Mus musculus: one gene and its partner. The protein of the gene in region 1 interacts with the protein of each later gene in a biochemical or structural test. Links are inferred from orthologs where the notes say so. Each region holds a gene or a part of one and is shown on either strand. Other genes may lie near its edges. The genes, in order: Flt4 and Vegfd.

Region 1 (3,818 bases):
GGGTTAGCTCTGTCTCTGCCTGCCTGCTGACCCTGGGCTTCCCCTGGGTGCGGCAGGCAGAGCGGGCTAAGTGGGTACCTGAGCGGCGTTCCCAGCAGACCCACACAGAACTCTCCAGCATCCTGACCATCCACAATGTCAGCCAGAATGACCTGGGCCCCTATGTGTGTGAGGCCAACAATGGGATTCAGCGGTTCCGGGAAAGCACAGAGGTCATTGTGCACGGTATGACCTGGGAGGCTGAGGTCACTGTGCCCGGCATGGGATGGGATGGGTCCGGTTTCATGGAACCTGGACAACAAGGGTCTTTATGCGGTGTGGGTCAGAGGTCATGATGCACCTGAGCAGCAGGGGCCAGTCAAAAGGAAGGAAGGGCTCTGAGGGGAAGCCCTGCCCAGCTCCTACCAGCTGGACAGCGAGGCAAAGCTCCAGTCTGCAGAGGGAGAGACTGGGAAGGCCTGGTGGATGGTCAGCCCCAAGTTTACACTCATGCCTCCTGTTTGGCAGAAAAGCCCTTCATCAGTGTCGAGTGGCTCAAAGGACCTGTCCTGGAGGCCACAGCCGGTGACGAGCTGGTGAAGCTACCCGTGAAGCTGGCAGCTTATCCCCCACCGGAGTTCCAATGGTAACAGCCTCCCCTTGCTACCCCACCAGGCTTAACCCAAGGACTGGCCAGGGCATGAAAAGGACAGGATCCTTCCCCATCAGATCAGTAGCCCTGAATCTCAAAAGAGGATTTAATCCTTGCCCATCAGCGCCTCCATACCCTAAACCCAGGTGGGACCCTCCCTAAATCCAGCCCCTAAAGGGAATGCATGCAGATACTCAGAAGAAGCTCAGCCCAGGAGCAGCTAAACTGCAAAATGTTTTAAACACCAGATCCGGTGTGCGGGGTGTGATTGGCAGTATGGGGTTTTATATTCCTGCTTCTTACATCCCCTCAGACTCAGCAAGGCTCTGCTAGCTGGATCTCCATGCAGGGAACAAACTCAGGGCCTGCTCTGCAGTGGCTAGTTCTCTGGGCTCCCTTCTTGGAAGAGTTCTTCTCTGAGGACCTTCTGACCCACAAATCTGAGATAGCATAAGACTGATAAGCCTGGCTCTGAGCTATCTGGTAGTGAGAGGCCTGTAGGAGACCTGAGAGTTGGCCTTTCCCTACAGGGTATGCCCAGAGCACAGAGGGACCCTCGGTGATATACCTTCTGTATTGAGTACAAAGCCTCAATCCTCCATTACACCCTGAGCCACCCACTTGATTCAGTCCTCCTGCAGCTTCCGTCTACCTTGTACAGATAAGAAAATGGGCCAGAAGAGGGACAAGCATTCCCACCTGAGCCCCAGGTCTCCTGGCAGGAATTCCTGCTTTGTCTCTTCCTGTCAAACCCAGGGTAGCCCTGCCCTTCCAAGCTTGAGGCACCTCACACCTGGTAGAAAGGCTCCGGTGCAGGACAAACAGAAGCGCCAAAGGTCTTCAGCCAGGACCCACTGGCCATAGGCTGGAAGCTGGCTTCTGTGAAGGCTCAGTTATTAATTAGTCTGTGGCTCCCTAAATCCTGCCATAGCTTTGAGCCATAGAGCACTACGTGGCATAGAATAGAGCCCTAGAGGGAAGGTCCTAAATTCACTGATGAAGCTAGCATAATTACAACTCTTAGAGTCACAGAGTCCCCTGACCTCTGAGGCCAGCAGGACTGAGTCTGCTCTCAGCACAGTTTTCCACAGGAACATATCTACCTTCTCTGACCCTTCTCTTCCCTCTTAGCTATTGTCTTCCTCTCTGCAGTGTGCAGCTGTCCCAGCACGCATGTGTTCATCACCGTCTCACAGGTGACCACTGTTTAGATGGCACCGTGTTAGGATTACACTAAGTCAATGAGTGGACAGCCAGCCAGGCTGGGTCTTTGGTCCGGTGTGCCCAGCAAAGTGAAGGCACTATTTCAGTGAGCCTTTGCAATTCCTGCAGTTGTCAAATAAAGACACTGAGGCATAGGAGAATTTTTAACCTAAGAGATGTCCCTTTTCAGGGCCACAGAGTCCTAGCTTAGCCTATTCAGAGGGGAGGGGCCTAGAAGCCCAGGACTCAGGCTGCAGAAACAGTCCAGGGTATGAGGCATTTGCTCACACTTGCAGCAGAGACCTAGAGTGACCACACATGCCCAGTGGGGTATTGTGTAAACAGGATATGGCAGTGAGTTGTCCCTGTCCTCACTGAAGCTCACAGCTCAGTGAGAGGATCGTCAACCAATTTGTACAAAACCCAGTGTGCCAGATAGGAGTGTAGGTCCTGGTTTGATCTGAAGGAAGGAAGGAAGGAAGGAAGGAAGGAAGGAAGGAAGGAAGGAAGGAAGGAAGGAAGGAAGGAAGGGAGGGAGGGAGGGAGGGAGGGAGGGAGGAAGAAAGGAAGGAAGGAAGAAGGAATGGAGGAAAAGAGAGGGAGGAAGGGAGGGGGTCAGGCACTGGAACATGGCAGGCAGGGACAGATGACAACCTTCTTGAAGAGCCAATACTCCAGCTGCAGTGCAGGAAGGAGAGAGCCATGCAAATTGTCATCTACAGAAAGAGCATCCCAACTAGGGTGACAGTAAGACAGTAAGCCCTGTGAGAAGGTCCAGGTCTGGAGAACTCACTGGAGCTTCCCGAGGCAGGTGTCCGAGAAGCAAGCAATTAGCACTCCATGGGCTCAGCTGTTGCTATTCCTTCCCTCATCAGTATACACTGAGAAAGAAGACAGGGCCCACCGAGGGTGGTGAAGTCAGTCTCTGATGCTAAAGCTCAGAGGTGTGGAAGAACTTCATGGACGAACTGGGAAGCTGCCTTCCTAGTCCCTAGGCCAAGTTCATAGAAAAGAGTGGAGCTGCCCTAAGCAGAGACTGGTAGGGAGGGGAGTGTCAAAGGATTTAGGGGTAAGTCTGGAAGTGCCACTGAAGATCTCATGATGGGCCTCAAGGCCAGTGACATTGCTGAGCTGGCCACATAAGTCAGCCCAGTACAGAGCTTTTGTCTGCCTTTCCTCAGACCAGGGACTCTGTCCATCCCATACTCCTGCTGCCCTTCTTGGTCTAGCACAGGAGAGGCCTCTTGCTCTAGTCTGATCTGTCAAGAGAGGCCACATGGCCTTCTCTTCCCACCTCCAGCAGTATGTGTGGCCCTTCATATTAGTGTTTTCTGCAGCCACGGGGCCAATGAACCTTAGATGGAAAAATAGCCTCTAAAATGTATCTGGACCTTTTGTTTCTATGACAGCCCCTGAGCATGTCAAGATCACAACCTTCTATGAAACAATGTATTAGTACCATAAGTCATCTAAAGATGGTTTACAGTATATAGAGAGGTGTGGTAGCTTATGTGAAAAGTCTGTGTTACTTTATAGGAGAGACTTGAGCACTGGGTATTTGGGATTCTATTTGCCTTGGTTCCTTTATTTTTAATTAGCATGCAAAGTGATGCATATTAATTTAATTAGCATGCAGAGGATTTATTATGGCATCCTCAAACAAAATTTGTTCTTGTTGATGCCATCCGGTATCTTAGATCGATCATTAAAGATTCTGGTGACCAACAGGAAACCGAGAACTACTCCCACTGGAGGGCCTGCAAATGCAAGCCCAGAGCTAGCATTTGGTCCCCACAGTTTCTGAATTCCCTTCCTCTGCCAGGTACAAGGACAGAAAGGCAGTGACTGGGCGCCACAATCCCCATGCTCTGGTGCTCAAAGAGGTGACCGAGGCCAGCGCAGGGGTCTACACTCTCGCCCTGTGGAACTCTGCAGCTGGTCTGAGGCAAAACATCAGTCTGGAGCTGGTGGTGAATGGTATAGC
Region 2 (3,818 bases), on another chromosome or scaffold:
AATTTGTACTATGTGGTGTCAGCTATCATCTTATTGGCCAAAACAAGTTTTATGGCCAAGCTCAATGCCAGGAGGTAGGAAATTGTCTGTCATCAATAGAAATGGTTTGGGAAGGGATGAGTAAGTAGTTTAAATAACAATCAAATCCACCCACGTCCCAAAGAACCACCAAAGATTTTATTTTGTTTATACTTACAATTTATATTCAATTTTAAAAACAAGAGCAGAGAGCAGGGATTTTTAAAGAACTTGAATGATAGTGAAAAGAACAGATTAGGAAAACACTTAGGAGAGCAAGCTGGATAAGGCCCCCTGTCTCCTGACTCCCGGCATTCCAAACCGCTTACTTACAATGACTAACTCTATTGCTCATGAATAACTTTGCTGAAGTCATTACCATAAAGGATAAGGGCAAAAATGCAGATGGTGGAAACTGAGAAAAGTATACAATAAAATTTACATCATGGTTCTCTTTCTTTGCTGCAGCTCTTTGAGATATCAGTGCCTCTGACATCAGTGCCCGAGTTAGTGCCTGTTAAAATTGCCAACCATACGGGTTGTAAGTGCTTGCCCACGGGCCCCCGCCATCCTTACTCAATTATCAGAAGATCCATTCAGACCCCAGAAGAAGATGAGTAAGCATTTCCTGGACTTGATAATGTCTGTTCTTGCTTTTGACAAAACTGCATGTACATTCCTTTACCCATTATACAGGCATCCTCAGAAAGACATGTGTTGCACATTTTCTGTTTTATGGAGCATTAAAAAACAAAAAGACATGAAAGTAGAAGGGGGGTTTTTAGGGAAAGGAAGCAGATGAAGAGGAGGAGGCAGAGAGGAAAAGAGAGGAGAAAAGTGCAGGTGAAGTATATTTTATGCATGCATGAATATGGTATGGTGAAAACCATTATTTTTTTACAATATACACTAATCAAAATGTTGAAGACACAAATAGAAAAAATATAAGTTGCAATTGCATTGTAATTGCAAAAATTACATTCTCTTCATTAAATTTTTTCATCTTCTGACTTTAAAACCAGATCTATTCATAGTATTTGACAAACACATTATTTTTTTACTAGGTGCTATATCTATATTACAGTAGGACCCAAAACCTTGAGGATCATGAACACAGCATGTTTGGATTCAGACACCTTCAGGGTTTTACTGTGGGTTTTTTTTTGTATGTTTGTTTTTTATTTTGATATTTTTGAGACAGGATCTCACTTTGTATCCCTGGCTGAACTGAAACTCACTCTGTAGACCAGGCTGCCCTTGAACTCTGCCTGTGCTTCCTGAGTGCTGGGATTTAAGATGTGCTGCCACATTGGCCCAACACCTTTGTTCTTAGAATGAGTGGCCGAATGCATTGTAAAACTGCTCCAGCCTCATAGCTACCATGTCTCCCCTCACTCCTGTGCAAACAGTGACTCTCATAAATCCAAGTTTAGTCTCTAAAGTTTCCCTAATAGAATATTTATAACTATAGAATTATTATGTCATAAGATGTCATTTCTAAATATAAAGTAAGCTCCATATTTTCTTTTGTTTGTTTGTGTCTATGTATGCATGTGTGTGGGTCTGCACATCTGTGCATGTGCCATTGGAGTCCAGGAGAAAGTGCTGGATCGTTTAGAGGAGGGATTCTAGGTGGTTGTGAGCCGATCCACATGGGTGTTGAGAACTGAACTCGGCCCCGTGGAAGAACAGTACTCATTCTGAGCTGCTGAACCGGCTCTTTAGCCCCAACGTTAAGGTCTTTACAACTCTTCTCACACAGTTGTAATTTTTTCACAGTCACCATGCCGTGAGAGACAAACATTTGTTCTCCTGTATCACTCTTAGAAACAAAATTTGAAAGCACTAACATGCTCCACACAGAATGTTTAGATTATTAGATATCAAATATTAAGAATGACTTAATATTCCCAAAGTAGGATTACTCTGAAAAACTTTTAAATCTGGTTCTTTGCTTTCTTTTCCTAGATGTCCTCATTCCAAGAAACTCTGTCCTATTGACATGCTGTGGGATAACACCAAATGTAAATGTGTTTTGCAAGACGAGACTCCACTGCCTGGGACAGAAGGTAAGGATGGCAGTAGTGAAGTACTAACCATACTGATAGAAGGAATACAACATTTAGCATGGCTGAGCATTCACTATGACCACGTGTATTAGTTTTCTGTGGTTGTGATAAAATATTGTGACCAAAAGCAACTTCCGGGAGGAAGAGCATATTTTGACTCATGTTTGAGGGTAACCCATCATAGTGGGGAAGGTATGTGAGCAGGCAGGCAGGGCGTCAGGAGCAGGAAACTGACCGGTCACATTTCATCTGCACTCAGGAAGCAAAGAGAAAACAGGAGCTAGAGTAAGGCTATAACCCTCCAAAGCCCGCCTCTAGTGACGTACTTCCTCCAGAAAGGCTTCGCCTCCTAAAGGTTCCATAACCTCCCCCAGACAACTGAGGGTCAAGCGTCTCAATCAAGGCACAACATCCCACAATGTTCACAACTCATGATCATCCCTCTTTACAAGCACACAGTGTCTACCCCGAGATATCTAGTAATTTCCTCACTCTCACACAGATAACAGTGCCAGAAGTGGTTGGATTTTAGAGCCTTCTCTGTTCGCTTCGCTGTTCATTCTCAAAGAAAAGTACAAAGTGGACAAAGCCCCCTAAAGCAGGTGTTATACTCTAATGAAAACTACTTTGGGGTGAAACTCATAGGTCATTTGGAACTTGGTTTCTTTCAACTGCACCATTTGAAAGCAAGCAAATACTCTGGGAAAAAAATAAAGGAAAGAAGGAGGACACGTGGGAACATTTGTCTGTAACTGGAACACATCATGCTCCTGGGCTAAGCCAAATAGGGAATTGCTAGCCTGTCATTCCATCTCCCGATCTGTTAAAGCTCTGAATCCTGGCATGAACATATGGTTGAACAAACATGATGGTTTACTTTTTTTAAAATTTATTTCCACACATGTGACTTGGTTCCACTGAAAACTATCACAGGGGACCATGCAACGTGAACGTTGCTTGTTTTAAACTCTGATCTCCTAGCAAGAATAGCAAGGATCCAGAGCCATAGAATCTGTCTGAAATGTCAAGCTCTTAGTGCTCTTGTCCTCAGGTTCCAGTTCTCGGCACCAGTGTAAGAGCTCAAACTAGGATGGGAGGTAAAATATTTTTGAAGTTATCTAGCCAAAGGCTCACACACATATAGTTTCAACACAGACACAACAAAGTAAAGGGTGACAATTGAGGCAGCATGACACAATGCAGTTGCTAAATCACCATCAGCCAATCCTGCGTGGAGTCGAAGCCAAGGAGTTCCCTGGGGGGGGGGCACCTCAAATAAACAGGTTGGGCCCTACAGACTTGAGGAGGGGTCATAACCTGGGTGGGGCATTTTCTTTCAGGGGGATGTTAATTCCTGGGGAAGACTCACTAGGTAGGTTCATACATTGAGGATGGAAAGAGAGATGTGCTCTGAGCAGGGCTTAGGTGAGAAAGCAAAAACCCAGTGCTGGGAAAGGTTAGTGGGGGAACACATTGGTTACTTTTTAGGTGCTGTAATAAAATATCTGACAAAAGCAATGGAGAGGAAAAAAGAAGGAATGAAGAAGGAAGGTGAGGGATGGAGGGAGGGAGGGCGGGCGGGCGGGCTCATTTTGCCTTTCACTTTGATACAGAACAGTCCATCATGCTGGGAATGGTCTGGCAGCAGGAGCAGTGCTGATCACTTTGTATCTCCAGCCAGGAAGCAGACAAGCTCCTATCTATCAGCATTTCCAGTTCCCCTCCCTCCTT

The links.
Region 2: the proteins of Flt4 (region 1) and Vegfd form a complex in vitro, tested with the Homo sapiens proteins (2 studies listed by BioGRID). The link is inferred for Mus musculus from reciprocal best matches to the Homo sapiens genes FLT4 and VEGFD.

The regions. Positions count from the first base shown.
Region 1 is NC_000077.6:49,626,613-49,630,430, forward strand, and holds part of Flt4 (vascular endothelial growth factor receptor 3 precursor), read left to right. Parts: intron 1-56; coding exon 57-225; intron 226-507; coding exon 508-625; intron 626-3,656; coding exon 3,657-3,811; intron 3,812-3,818. UniProt on the Homo sapiens protein: Tyrosine-protein kinase that acts as a cell-surface receptor for VEGFC and VEGFD, and plays an essential role in adult lymphangiogenesis and in the development of the vascular network and the cardiovascular system during embryonic development.
Region 2 is NC_000086.7:164,393,947-164,397,764, forward strand, and holds part of Vegfd (vascular endothelial growth factor D isoform VEGF-D358 preproprotein), read left to right. Parts: intron 1-486; coding exon 487-635; intron 636-1,986; coding exon 1,987-2,087; intron 2,088-3,818. UniProt on the Homo sapiens protein: Growth factor active in angiogenesis, lymphangiogenesis and endothelial cell growth, stimulating their proliferation and migration and also has effects on the permeability of blood vessels.